2 linked regions of the Mytilus edulis genome follow. The protein of the gene in region 2 binds, or shares a complex with, the protein of the main gene of each other region. Links are inferred from orthologs where the notes say so. Each region holds a gene or a part of one and is shown on either strand. Other genes may lie near its edges.

Region 1 (8,117 bases), on a different chromosome or scaffold from region 2:
CATGTAAGTCTGAATAAATACGGCCAAAGCAAGGCTTCCAAAACGGTCATATATTCCGGTCATTTGTATGTCTGTTAAAAGTCCAGCTGGGCCAAGCATGAAACAGTCATCTACTTTTTAGTTTTTAAGGCTTTTTCTGTCATTTTAACCTAATTGACGATCTTTTTGACCCAATTTTTTGCCTTTAACAGCCCCACATTTCCGGTCATAAAAGTGACATGATGATTAATTACTATCAAAACAACCCCTACTTCAATACTCTCTAATTTTAATCCAAGCTAATTAGTTGTTGGACAGCTGAAAACTACCTGTTCAGATGACAGGTAAACAATAATTTTCAGTACCGGACATCGTATAAATTAATCGGTCTATTCACAATTATTTCCGTACATTTCAGTGGTTTGTATCTAATTGAATTAGTCCAAAAGATTAAATTATAATAAATACATTTATAAACATGATTTGATGAAACATTTAAAAAGATTTTAAATGAAAAATCGTCAGAACTATGTTGCATGAATAAGAACACGTGTGCGCATGTGCACAGGTGGGAAATTTAATTATGCATCCTACATTTCTTCAAAAATGGTAAAATAATCATTGAAACCGGTATCTAACGTTCATTTCAAGTATTTTGTTCAAGAAATAACGTGGAAAGAGCTTCTTCACTCAGTCGTGCTTTGTAAATGTACACGGATTTTACGTATCCGTTTATGGTCCATGTTTTACCATTGTCAAGTCAACATCCGGTTTGGGAAAATGTGTCAACATCCGGTTTGACTTTGAAAACTAAAGTAAATTTTTTGACAACGTCATTTTGCACAAATAAAGAGCCGGCAGATATGAGCACGCTGATGTACACACTTTGAATGATGCACTGCCAATTTTAACAGTTTACATCAGAACATCAAATTCATATCAAAGTAAAGTTTAATTTCGTTTTTTTTAATCTAATGTCAATCATTGGGATGGCCATTTGATTACCATAATTGCCTTTTGTGACTTAGTCTTAGAGATTAAAATTGGAATCAGATATAAAATGTCCGGCTGGCTCAAAATTTTTTTAGAAGCCCTGGGCCAAAGACAATTAATTCTAATCTTGTAAATAACTCTTTGTAGTTCATACAATACTAGTTTGAGACCATGGAAAACAGATATATTTTTTGTTTAATCCATGTTCTTTATAATACATATTTTCAGAATTAGTGAATAGTCTAAAAAATCAAAATTCAACCAGACAATTGATCGTCTTTGAATCCTTAATCACATTTGTAAGTAATATTATAGTTCAACCATTCTCAACCATCTTCTCGTTTGTATTACAGTAAATCAAGTTTTGTTCTATTCCAATATGTCATTTAGGTCGATGCAAAGCACTAATTCAGGCATGTCAGGAGCAGGAGGAGTGGTATGTAAATTGCCATTTTTATAAAAATTTCTTCCTGAATCCTTTCAGAAATTAGTTCATATTTTCGTATTTCCTTAAACACATTACGAGAGAAAGGTGTGCAAATGCACTGGAACAATGCCTAGTTGAATTATTGCTGAAGTGTAGTATTTGTTTGATGTGAATAAGATATAATGTTTATCACATGTATATATGTAAGTGTAAAAATATAAGTGAACCAACACCTGAAGTGGTGATTAATATGTCTACAATAAAGACAACAACACTCAAGTTTTTAGCGCAAAGTATCTGTTTATTTGGTCGACATGTTTCACCTATAAATAGGCCTCATCAGGACCTGAGTGTTATTGTCTTTATATAGTCGACATATTTATGTAACTGTATAATTACTTTGTGGTACATCTTTGTCAGGATATAAATTTTTATGTACATCCATTGCAAAGTCCACCATGTTTGTATTACTGAGAAGATCCAACTTCCCTTTTAACATCTGTTTTTCATCATACAGCTGAAAACATAAAAATATTTTCTTAACTATAGACTAATATATGTGCAGTGAGGGTTATAGACAACACAAGTATCTCAAACATTTATAACGGTAGAAATCAAGTTATTTTAAAACATTCATCATTACTTCTAGTACTTTCAATACTTTTAGTTACCGAAGAAGATCTCACAAGGATTTCCTAGTGACCGAGAGATATGATGGTAGTTCTCTGAGTTGCGATTCTTTTTGAATTATATGTCTCTGTTATTTCCAAATGTTTGTACTTTTTCTATGTATAATTATAAGGATAATTTTTATCATCAAACACCTAATTCTACAAATAAATAGCTAGACTTTAAGAAACTGAACATTGTTTTGACATTGAACATTTTACTAACATTTCCAGTTACTCTGTGCTTGATGAGGGATTTCTGAAAGTGGTCAAATCAGAAATGAATCTAATTCTAGTATACACCTTATTGCTATTCCCAACTGACCAAAGAATCTGTCCCGCTTAAACTATTGACTGACGTCATATCACAATCACTTTTCAATAGTGGCGTCAGATATTTTGTATTGTGGCGTCAGAACTTTACAGGAACCTGTGTATTGTCCAGTAATGGCAGGAAATAGTGATGAGGTGCATTAATCTAAGATACACGACCATAAAAGGGATTACGTCTGGTCTTAATTTATAATTTTCAATCTTGTTAATATAGGAGAGTTGTTTGTAGTTCTGGTTTGCTATTTTATCTTTTTTTTTATTGTTAATATCTATAAAATAATTCAAATCGAAAGTACCGGTATCGGGTTTTATATGGTCAATACGGAAAGGTTATCTATGAGGGGGGATAGGACCTTTATCGGGACTACGGGATCGGGTGTTTTTAAGCTCGGGATTTCGGGATTGACCCTTTCGGGATCCGGGAATTCTTTTTTCGAATTTCGGAACCTCGGGATTTCGTGTTTTTAAGCCCGGGATTTCGGGATTTCGTATTTTTAAGCCCGGGAATTCGGGATCAGGACCCCTCCTACCCTCCCTCATCTATGACAGATCATCTATGACAGATGGGATAAACATTCATTTGAATCGTAGCTCGGGATCACGATACGTTTCTTTCTGTGTCATGTATGTTTATTATACTACTTACTTCTTTCACAGATAAAAATTCTAGTAAAGGGAAGACCAAATGACGGTCTAAATACTGTCCCATTCGCGAAGTCAAGTCCCATTCCGCCATGCTGCCGGTGCGCTTGTCAAAAAGGATTATAAATCATAAAACAAACGTCGGGTACGGATAGGAATATTCTTTGTTTTTTTTATACAGTTTTTTTTTTTAAAAGCATGCATAACATTCAGACGCAATTGCAATTTTAGAAACAAATGGGTATAACAGTAAATTTCTTACCATATATTTTGTATATATATTCGAACGATGAACAGGAAAGCGGGGCTAATATTTATTCGGATTTCCGAGCCTTTCAAGGACACGGATTTTGATAGTCTCATTGTAGAACACTTGCTATTTTAAACTCTATAGATATAATATCCCCACTCGATGTTTAAGTTTCCAATTATTGTGTAATTGCTATTTTGTTTAATTTTTTTTAAAGAAAGAGGTGTATAATTTGACTTCATTATAACCGTCACGCATTCAACACAAAATGGATTCAGTGTTAAGATGTCATAAACAGTCAGAGAAAAACATGACTTTGTGAATGCCAAGATACAGGTATCGACAGAATGTAGATCCATGAATGTGTATATGTATATAACATACTAGTAATATTTAGTTTGCTTTTAATTTACTGATAACAAAATCAATAGTTATACCAATAAAAACAATCATTAAATGATTACAGTGTAACACTGTAATCATTTAATATACTGACCAATAAAAACAATCATTAAATGATTACAGTGTAACACTGTAATCATTTAATGATTGTTTTTATTGGTATAACTATACTGTTGAATTGGTAACCTTTTAGAATAACTTTATTTAAAGGAGCGATCAGTTTACAAGGATCATTTCTAAATTTCCGGGCACGGTTAACAACATTTCCGTAAAAATGAAGATGTGCTATCCTGTTTGAAATAAGTTTCCTACAGGTACAATCAAACTTCAAAATCAAATTTTTATATCTATCGGAAATTTAATAAAGATTTTAAGTAATTTATGGATATACATTACGATGATCCCTGGTTTAATAATTTACCAGTAATACATAGATTATGTTCGTTAAAATCAAAAACGTCACAACAGACACGGGCATAGCGAACGAGCTGTGAAATATAAACACTTTTACACTTACTGGTCTCTTGGAAATGTTGTTTGTGCTGTATTGAGACCCTTCTACAACGATGTTTTTTACATGCAGACGTATAAAAATTGCGTTTTTTTATCCAACGCAATCATAGGTTTGGACGTTGTTTTCAAAAGTTTAGACTTGTTTTAATATATATATCCGAGATATATCTAAATGGAATCTCACTATATATATATATTGTATTCAACATGATAGTCCATTACGCTCTATCAGTATTATAAGAGACATATCGGCTAGCCTGTATTCATATGTCTCTGGCTCTATGAAATAAGTTTTATGGCTTTTTATGTTTTCATGCTACTTTTAGAACTAGTTTAGCCTATTTATTTGTCTGCTTTGCATGTGCTTATAATCTAGTTTAGTGCTTTACTTGATTGTACTTGCTTTTATATATAATTATATATGAACTCAGTTGCGTATGCAATATAGCTGTCTTTATATTGTCTATTGTGTGTGCTGTATATGTCCTATATATGTCTTGTATGTGTTGTTGTTGTTATTAATGTCGACAAAAAGCTCTACAGAGCTTATGTTTGTAGTATTTACAACCCGACATAAAATAAATTTTCTTATCTTATCTTGTCTTATCGAGCTATAAATCTAAACTAAACAGATTTTTTCAGTTCTTTCTTATTTAAGTTTAACTTTTATTTTAAAGGAAAGTATACTGGGACCTATGATTTGTATAGTACAAATCTTTGCTGTGACCATGGAAGCAATACTTCCATGCTGAGACAAATAAAAAGCCCAATCAATACATTACGGAAATATTTTATGCTGTGTCCAGTGGCAGATTTTTATTTAGTCATCATATTTTATTTTCGGATAAATATTTTGCGGTCTTTTACACTGTGTAAAGAATCGTTTTGATAATAACTTTTTAAATTTAGTTTGATTTTCCAATGGAATTTTGTACCGCACAAGTTCATTAGTGTTCCGAAAAGTATTCGAAAAGTTCGTAACGACGATGAAAGGTCAAGGCTGTTCTAACTGGAAGTGTTCGATTTTTGTGATTCATTAAATTAGTCGCTGCATCAAATGCAGCAGGTATGAGCAGGCCTGGCCTAAGAAGTGGGAGTGCTGCCAACTGTACCAACCAGGCGACCTTGAATCGAGAAATGGCACGGAATGAAACTGACGAAGGAGGACGGCAACGTGAGATGGCAGATCAAGACGATGAAGATAAATGCAGTGAAATCAAACCAAACCAACAACAAGCCAGTACAAAATTTCAGAACATTCAGTATGATTCCCAATTAACAGAAAATGGTATATATATATATTTATATGTAACTTTTAGTCATGATACTGCAACTTGTAAAAAAAGTATTTAATAAGACTGGTATAGTGGTATATAATTCGTGAAATTATGATATAAAATTAGGAGATCTACATGTGATTTGCTATTGAGGCAACCATCTACAATGTATAGGACATGGAGGTAAGCATTTATTGGGCATTGTACATGATATATCCTTTAACAATCAACAAATCCCATACTGTGTCTGTATAGTAAGCTAGTAATTTAGTCAGACTCAGGTGGCCGGCTCAGGTGGTGTCTGTCGAAAATTATCCCACAAAGGGTAATGCATGTTTTTTCATGCGACTCCTTCCTACATCATTGACATTGTACATGTACAATATAACATTAAAGTCATTTTTTATGCTGAACTCCTCTTAACTTTAAGACCGAATTTGACATTTTCTCTTCAATGACAAGTAAAATTTTTGCTTATATACATGTACAAACTCTTACATTATTAGTACCTCATCTGCATGTTTTTGAAAATATCCAAAAGTATCGATAAAATAAGTTATAATTCCATCCAAGTTAGGTATGATCTGGGAACAGTATAATATATATATGTTCCTGGTATGCTGAACTCCTCTTAACTTTAAGACCGAATTTGACATTTTCTCTTCAATGACAAGTAAAATTTTTGCTTATATACATGTACAAACTCTTACATTATTAGTACCTCATCTGCATGTTTTTGAAAATATCCAAAAGTATCGATAAAATAAGTTATAATTCCATCCAAGTTAGGTATGATCTGGGAACAGTATAATATATGGTATGATATACTTCTTTTTTCAAATGGTTGCCCAGATTTTCTAAGATCCTTCCCCACAAAAAAATCTACATACCAAAATCTGAATTTATTTAATAAATTTCAGCCTTTTCAGGAGTAAAATTGAAAATGGAGAATGCGTCAAAGAGGCAACAACCTGACTATAGAGCAGCTAGGCCACCAATGGGTCTACAAAACAGGGAGAAAATCCTGCTTGCAGAGGCATGCTTCATCTGGCCCCTAAACAAAAATGTGTACAAGTTTAGTGATAATGGACATCATACTAAACTCTGAAATATATAAATGAACTGAAATTAAAAATCATACAAGACTAACAGAGGTCAGAGGCACCTGACTTGGGGCAGGCCCTTAAATGTGGCAGGGTTAAACATGTTTTGTGAGATCTCAACTCTTTCCCCATGTTCCCTACACTTTTTAGTTCTAGCTAATGTAGAAAAAACAAACACACAGCAATACGCACAGTAAAACTCAGTTTAAAATGTTAAAAGAAGTCAAAGTCTGATGTCAGAATATATATAGGTAACAAAAGAAACTAAACAAAATGACAATGATACATAAATTAACAAAGGAGTGTTTCCTTTAAATGTCACTTTCCCGCCAATTTCAGCTTGTGCAGTTGCCAGTTGTCAAGTTTTTTATAAAAATTGATATCAGCTATTTTTAATATTTTAAAGTATTGTGATCATGCTGACATGGCTGATGTGAAGTTTATTTTTTCTGATTTTCAAAATTTAAAATAATTGAATAACTGAGAGGTCAGTCTCCAGTGGCAGATCCAGAACTTTTCATAAGGGGGGGGGGGGGGGGGGGGGGGGCCCACTCCAGTCATGCTTCAGTGATTCCCTATATAATCAACCAAATTTTTCCCGGATCCGCCTATGGTCTCCTTTTAAGAATAACTAACTTAAATTTAAAATAACTTTTACTTCATAAAATTATATGATCCTATTTGGAATTGTCAAACATGTTGGTAGAAAAACACATATAGTGGGGGATCCAGAACTTTTTATAAATGGGGGCCTGCTACAGTCATGTTTCAGTGATTCTGTATATAATCAATCAAATTTCCCCACATATAAATGACTGATTCTGACAATACTTTTTAAACATTTTGTTTTATATTTTACATGCTTTTTATCATGTTTATGATCATTTTTAAGATATACATGTAGTATGAACAATGTTTGAAACTAATATCTACACATGATGAACTTACGCTCATAGATATTGAAAGGTTTTTTTGGGTTTTTTTTCAGGTGATCCTACCATAGAGTGTTCTGTTTGTTTACAACCTAGTATTTATCCTGTGCAGTTACCATGTCGACACATATTTTGTTTTCTATGTGTAAAAGGTGTAGCTAACAGAAGTAAAAAATGTGCATTATGTAGACAGGAAATCCCTGCAGATTTTTTTGCCAAACCTGTTTTAGTTCGAACTGAAGATTTAGATAAGACAATAAAATTTGATAATGAATATCAGTGGTTTTATGAAGGTCGTAATGGATGGTGGAAATATGATGATAGAACCAGCCAGGAAATAGAAAGTCGTCACAAAACAGGAGAAAAACTATTTGAATTGTTGATAGCAGGATTTTTGTATATCATAGATTTAGAAAACATGATTCAGTATAGGAGAAATGACAGATCGAGGAAGAGGAGAATTAAAAGAGACTTAATTAGTATACCTGATGTTAAAGGTGTAGCTGGACTCAAATTTGATAATGAAATCTCCAGTCGTCTAGGTGGTGATGGAGGTGAAGAGATACAATCAAATACCCAACCCACAACAACGTTAACT
Region 2 (7,664 bases):
ATATTACTTAAATCCAGAATAAGAATTTTATTTAAATATGGAAATTATTGCTTTATGCTTGAACTGGATGATTAATTTTCTTTTAAATAAACTGAACCGTTTCTACTTTTTCAATACCTTTTGTCTATTTTCTTGTTGTTTACCAAACTGTTTCTGCCATTTCCTCAACAGACGCTGACGATCCCTGTAAAAGTATCATTATTGTCATCATTCAGTTTTACTTGCATATTTAAACATTCAGTGTTTGACGAGAAAAGAATATTAAAAATCCTCAAACATTTATCCTACATTAAACAAGGCGGCTAGCAAAGTATCTTTTACTAGAAATGCTTACTTTGCCCCTATTCAAATGCATTGGTATAGAAAGACAAGATGAAGATTTCATGACACTTTAAATTGTGAATGGTATTTACTCCTTTGTTTTTCCAGTAAGGTGTGCTGTTTACTCTCTGTTAAATATGTAAGTCTTTAGAACTTGCTGCAAAATTATTTTTTTGGTTTTAGTCAGTTTGCGAAAAATTCCTTTATACATATATCAATCAATATAATCCCCCAATCGAGGTAATTTTATCCAAAGAAAAATCTAATTTTATTAGAAAAAAAGCATTCAAGACAAATAACCCTCAAGTTTAAGTAATATCTGTACCTTTCTCTACTTTTCTGTGTTTTAGACAACACCTGCATACTAGCTTGAGCTTGTTGTTGCCTTCTTTCTCTTTCCTTTCTTTGTTTATTCTGCAAAAAAAATGTATTTATAATTTCAAACGTTGTGCAACAAATTTTAGGTCCTTTCACTGTATTTAAACAAACTGAGGCAATGGATTATTGTAAAATATTTGTTCGTTTACTTGGGTGAATATAATCAATACTAGATGGTTTGTTACTTGAAATAGCAGATATGTGGTTAAATTTGATAAGAATTCTTATTTGTAGGACTTCAAAAATAAAGTCTGAAGATTGAATATTATCATGATGATGTTACAACAATGAGACAGTCCACTTATCGGTAATATTGTTGTCTCATAATGATTCCATCATTTTTTATTTGCAGACAAATATCAAATAGCAATATTAAGCTATTGATGTCTTAAAAACACACAAACTTTTGACAACATGTGCTCTTCATGACAATGTGAGAAAAGGATTATAAAAACAACCTGCAAAATTGTCACATGACTGTTTTATACTGAGGGTTTTTGTTTCAGCAATATTCTTTTAACCACATAAGTAAAGCTTAGTTTTGTACTCAGCAAAACAATTATACTTCATAATTTGTTTTAGAACCCTGTTTCAATATGTTTTCATACCTGTTGATAAACTCTTCTTCCTCTTTGGTACACTGGTTTCTGAACCTTAGCTGTATCAACAAGTTGGAAACTGTTCTCATCCTCTTCATGGTAGTAAGCATACTGGCTTCCTAATCCTCCAAATGAAGAACTGTATTTCCCTGTGCAATACAAATATTTAGAGCTGTTGTTTATACATATTAACATAAATCTGCAGTGTCTAAAAGACTTTTAATACACACATCATTACTTACGTATAGATAAAATATTAGTGAAGATGTTGTTTTTCTACCTCCATATCAACACAAATAAAACGGGGAGAAGATGGAGATCCATTGTAGACTTTACATACAAAAGGAATGTTTGACATAGACAGTGTCTAATTCTTCTAGGAAACTGATACTCAAGTAAATGCATCAATTGATTTTTCCAAAATGATGTTATATATATATAAAGCAAAGAGAGAAAAAACCTATTTTTTTTAACAATCTATATCTAAAGAAATGTGTTTCTTTAATAAATTAAAGCTTTTATTTTGATACTCTAAATTAAAAAAATCAACAAATGCTTACTTCGACTTATTGCATGATCATGTTAACCATAATACTTAGTACTTTTTTTTATTATTTGATTATTGAACTGCTACTTATATATTGTATTTAATTTTGTATGCCATAACCATTTAATGTAAATGTGTTTGTGCTAATAAAATATTGTCTATTGTCTACTATATTCTGATTGAAATTTAGCTGAACACCTGCACTCCAAATAAAAATAGGTGCAAATCTGATAAATACATGTACTATTATATAAAACATAACCGTTCTACTTAGATAAACCAATACCTAAATATCTTTTGTCTTGATAGGTTGCTCCAGTCCAATCAGAAACCTAAAAATAAAGCACCATGAGAGATTATATAATTCATGTATAATATGGTTATTATTCAAACTGCAGCTCTAGACATAAATGATATTAGTGACATTACAGAAATTTTGTTCAAATTTCCTAAATCAAAGACTGGAATTTTAAATGTGACCTCATCAGGCATGCTTCTGTCCAACTTTCGTAAAACTTCATGAAGGTTTGACAAAATTATTGATATTAAAATAACCACATATTGAACCTAAATGTTGACGCCGCTGAAAAAATCTAGGTTCGCTATTTCTTTTTTTCGCGTTATAAATGTCGCAGGCTCGGCTAAAATTCAAAGCACATATCGGATCTCAGCTGATTATGAATTTCTTTAAACAAATGGAAAGTAAGAAGAATTACCAGGAGATTCAGAATTTGACCGAAAGAAAATAAACAAATATATAATACGGCACTATTTGATCGGAAATAGATTTCGTCACTTTTATAAGCAATTACAAGCTATTGAAGATTGATTTACAACACTGATGTGTTTTAAACCAGATCTTTTTAATGGAGATATTTTTTTTTTATAAAATTCAAGTGTACGCCCGGGCGTTTTGACGTAAATGTAGCTACGCCCCTGGAAGCCCCTAGATTGGCACCAAAGGCAAAGACCAAGTCAGCAAGTGCCAACTTGTTAAGCACCATCGATCTTAATTGATTATTTTACACATTATGTCTAAACCATTCACCAGATGGAACAAAACTGATCTGCTGTTTGATACTCCAGGAACTTTCCTGGATCATTCTGACAATCCTTCCCTCCCCCTTTTTTAAAGTTACAATATGTTGACAACTTATTCATTACAGTACTCTACCTTTCCGAGCCGATCTCCCTTTGAAAAGGGCTGATATGGCATGTCCTTAAATTGTTCAGGAATAGCACAAGGACCCCATCCAACGGGGTTATCTTGAATTTGTGGGGGATTAAAATATGCCATATTTCTACCGGCAAAACGTGATCGTCTTTCAGCCTCGTTTTCAGACTAAACTAATAACCGAAAAGATTCGGTGAAAACGAACAACAAAGACAAGCCAAACATCTCTGTCAGCCACAAAACTGAAGAGGCCAAAACTATATCTGCCGACTACTCGCCAAGAACAATAACAAACGAGGACCCTACCAAACTCCACGGAATACCTCTAATATACAGCCATCCAAACAAGAAAGCTGCTACAGGAGCATGTCAACAGAAATCTGATAACACCCGAAAGATATGGAATGGAACAAAAAAGGCACATGTACAACACCCTGGTCCAAGTGCACCATTACCACCAAGACAACACTACTATGTCAGAAGACTAGAGTCACAAATCCCTCCAACGCACCACCCTGTTAATCAACAACCGTTATACAACATGGCAACAGGTGCAGCTTGTGGAAACAACCCTTTTTTAGTGCAGAGCAATCCCCAACGAAACAACATCAACCAATTTTAGACACTAAGGACAAATCCATCAGCATAGCCTCATACAACTGTAAAAATATCAAAACATGTGGACACTCCATTAGCGAAATTCTACAGGAAAATGACATCATCTTAATTCAGGAACATTGGCTTTTTCATTCTCAAATACATATGATCTCTGATATTAACTGTAACGTAAACTTTGCAGCCAAGGGGGTGGATATGAACGAACCAATTCTTCCAGTATCCATGCCCAGAGGATACGGTGGCGTGGGAATCATTTGGAACACAAACATAAATCATCTCATTAGACCTCTTGACGACGGATCGGAAAAAATACAGTGTATTGAACTTGAGAACTCGGTTAGGCGAATACTGGTTGTTAGCGTGTATCTACCATCAAACGGGAGCAAAAACCATCAAATAGAATATCAAGAGTGCATAGATGAACTGCACGAGATATGCCAAAAATACATCAGTACTCACCACATTATTATAGGTGGAGACATTAACGAAGACCTTAATGCTGGAAAACCAACGAACAAGAGAAAGGAGTACCTGAAGAAATTTATAAATGAAATTGAATTGAAATTTGATAACATTGGAAATACATTTATCAACTCGAAGGGGTGTGAATGCTCTGAAATTGACTATTTCCTACACAACATAACACCAGACATACTAGGGAAGGGAAAGTCAATCCTCAAATGCCAAACCAACGCCTCAGACCATTATCCAATCAGTATGAGTATAAACTGGAAGCATGAGAAACTTGATATGAACCAAAAAAAACGTCCGAAATCCAAAATTAAATGGGATAAGGTAGACAAGGATCTGTATAAAGCAATAACAGACAAAGAGGCACTGAAGCTGCAAGAATCAATTATTACAGATTCATTAGAGTCACAAGAAGTAGTTGAGCGGATGAATGATATACTCACAACAGCATCACAAAATTCATCAGGAAATAAAACAGTTTATCAATCAAGACCAAAGCTCAAAGTATGGAATAGTGACATAAAGAACGCCTTAAAGGAAAAACGGATCACGTACAACGAATGGCAAAAAGGTGGGAGACCAAACGATCCAGCAAATCCCCTAACACTCAAGAAAAAACAAGGAAAAAAGGAATTTAGGAAAACAGTACGCATAGCAGTAGCAAGGCAACTGGAGGCAGAAAAAGAGAGCATCATGGAAGCAAGATCGAATAACATGGAGGTCTTCCACAAACTAGTTCAAAAGAACCGCAGGAAGGGAATTGAACACATACAGGATATAAACGTTAATGGCGCCACATACTCGGGAGACAAAGTCATAGAAGGATTTAAGGAACACTTCTGTACTCTTTCTACACTTAAAGAAGAGGCCTTCAGCAACCCGGAGTACCACTCCCAAGTGGAAATGGAAATAAGCAATATCTGCAAACTGGTAGACCAAGAAACGATACGCCCTGTCATAGAAAATGATGTCCGTAAAGCTATTTCTACAATAAATAGAAACAAATCCGCAGACTACCATAATATAACCATCGAACATTTCATATATGCTGGAGATAATATCTTATCCGCCCTTACTCAACTCATCAATATCATATTCCTAGAAGGAGATATACCAACAATTCTGAAAATAGGACTGCTTTCTCCTGTATTTAAGAACAAAGGCAGCAAAAACGATGCATTAAACTACCGAGGAATAACTATTTTACCCGTAGAGAGCAAGATAATTGAGGCCATCATTAGAGATCGGGTACAACCAAAAGTGCAGAAGGTGCAAAACCCAACTCAAAGAGGATTCACCAAAGGATCCTCCCCGATGAATGCAGCACTACCTGTGGAGGAAATGTACCGAATTCTCCCGGAAAAAAAGCAAAACGGTTACCTAGTCTTGCTCGACGCAAAAGCTGCCTTTGACACTGTGGTGCACTCACATCTATTCCGCAGGGTATATCATGCTGGGATTCAAGACAGGACATGGACAATCATTAGGAGTCTTCATCAAAACGCAGAAAGTAGCATAAAATGGTCCGGAAAAACATCAGAGCGTTTCACAGTAGGCATGGGTGTCAGGCAAGGAGGCATACTGAGTACAGACCTGTACAAGTTATACATCAACCCTCTGTTAGACCACTTCCAAAACACAACCTACGGCATGACTATAGGGAATGTCAACACAAACAACACCGGATGCGCAGATGATATCGCAATATTGAGTATGCAGCCAGCTGATGCTCAAATTATGGTCAACATGGCCCTTGATTTTGCCAATTCAGAAGGATACCAGCTGCAGCCAAAGAAAAGTGTAGTAATTAAAATAAGCGGAAACAGCAATAACACCAAAATGGAAGAAGACAACCTGATGATGGGTAACACACCTATGCCTAATGTTGAGCAGGCTACACACCTTGGGATCATCAGAACTACAACTCGGAAGAACAATATACAAAGTAACACCAACGAAAATATAACAAAGGCAAGAAGGAGTGCATACAGCCTACTTGGAGCCGGGTTCCATGGACACAATGGTTTGGACCCTGAATCGCTACTGCATATCTACAAGACGTATATACTCCCTGTCCTACTATACGGAATGGAACTTCTAACCCCATCCGGTAAGCCTCTTGAACAACTTGAGATCTTCCAAAAAAGGATGCTTAAACAGATATTATCGCTGCCAACAAGATGCCCTGATCCAGCAGTCTACATACTCACAGGAATTCTTCCGGTTGAAGCCCAAATTCACATTAAGACGCTAACTTTCTTTAACAATATCTGCCATCAATCAGAAGAGAGTACCGAGAAAAAGCTTGCCAGAAGACAACTGACAGTCTGCAGTGAGGAAAGTAATAGTTGGTTCATACACGTCAACAAGTTGCTACGTCTATACGATCTCAGCGAAGCAAACACCTACTTGGCCAACCCAACAAAGAAAACTCAGTGGATCACATTGATAAAGAACGCTGTGATGAAATACTGGAGCATCAAAACTGTACAAATATCCGAACTATACTTGGGCCTAAAGTACCTGAGCAGTCAAAACCTCATCAAGGGAAAACTTCACCCAATCCTCCAACACAAGAGTCAATCCGCTCTAGACAATAGCAGAATCCCTACCAGATTACGCCTTATTACTGGAACTTATGTACTTCAAACAAAACGGATTCAATTCTACAGACAAGAAACAGACCCGACCTGCCTGCTTTGTGGGTTACAGGAGGAAACACTAGAACATTTTGTAATGCAATGCGAGAAGTTACAGTCCGTTAGAGCGGTGATACTTAAAGAGGTGAATGACATATGGCAAAATGAGATGAATAATACCATAAGGTTCCATGACCTGGACATTACAACGCAAATGCAATTGCTCCTCGACAGTGCAAAACTCATCAACCTAAATAGACATAACTCAGCCAGCGTAGCCCGTATGGAAAACCATTCCAGAAACCTTTTCTTCAAGTTGCACATAAAGAGAAATGTACTGTTGGACGAAAAGACTTAGAGGCACATCGTAGAAGATAAGCTAGCATGGAGAGGGGGAGGGGTAGGGATACCATTGACTCTGGGTCCTAAAGCACCGGATTGCCCACAGATTCATAGTGGACATACTTTTAGATTTTACCGTACATATACTTTTATCACAATGCAGTAATTTCGTATGAACACTGAACTTTTAGATTTTTAAGAGCAAACATTTTTTAAACATGGAGCTTTAAATACGTATTTTAACCAGGCAAAGTCGCTCTCTATATATATATTCCGTATGTGAGGACATTCTAGATTTTAGATTATAAGCGATTAATAAGAAGCCGTTTTTATATATTAACACAAAACCCCGTGTGGATAGACTTGTTTTAACATTGATAAAAATCGCCATGAACTTTTATTATAACATACATGAATTTTAAAATGTCGGGAGGTGTCGTTGCGGATTGCAAACATTATCTTTAGTGATATTCATATATGTAAATAATGTACATAATGGTGGAAGGATGATCCAAAAAATTCATGGATAAATTATGGTGATGGGACCCACAGACACAGCACCAATGTAAATAATG

The links. The genes of interacting proteins can lie anywhere in the genome.
Region 1: eukaryotic translation initiation factor 3 subunit D-like (region 2) and eukaryotic translation initiation factor 3 subunit E-A-like share a complex: the UniProt entries of both Drosophila melanogaster proteins name them as parts of the eukaryotic translation initiation factor 3 (eIF-3) complex. The link is inferred for Mytilus edulis from reciprocal best matches to the Drosophila melanogaster genes eIF3d1 and eIF3e.

The regions. Positions count from the first base shown.
Region 1 is NC_092344.1:103,021,622-103,029,738, reverse strand, and holds the start of eukaryotic translation initiation factor 3 subunit E-A-like, read right to left. Parts: upstream 3,179-8,117; 5' UTR 3,137-3,178; coding exon 3,047-3,136; intron 1,917-3,046; coding exon 1,799-1,916; intron 1-1,798. Other genes in the region: E3 ubiquitin-protein ligase RNF146-like, read left to right, coding at 5,276-5,495, 7,576-8,117. UniProt on the Drosophila melanogaster protein: Component of the eukaryotic translation initiation factor 3 (eIF-3) complex, which is involved in protein synthesis of a specialized repertoire of mRNAs and, together with other initiation factors, stimulates binding of mRNA and methionyl-tRNAi to the 40S ribosome.
Region 2 is NC_092352.1:39,012,163-39,019,826, reverse strand, and holds the start of eukaryotic translation initiation factor 3 subunit D-like, read right to left. Parts: upstream 3,216-7,664; 5' UTR 3,143-3,215; coding exon 3,020-3,142; intron 2,178-3,019; coding exon 2,132-2,177; intron 1,448-2,131; coding exon 1,308-1,447; intron 736-1,307; coding exon 647-735; intron 185-646; coding exon 118-184; intron 1-117. UniProt on the Drosophila melanogaster protein: mRNA cap-binding component of the eukaryotic translation initiation factor 3 (eIF-3) complex, which is involved in protein synthesis of a specialized repertoire of mRNAs and, together with other initiation factors, stimulates binding of mRNA and methionyl-tRNAi to the 40S ribosome.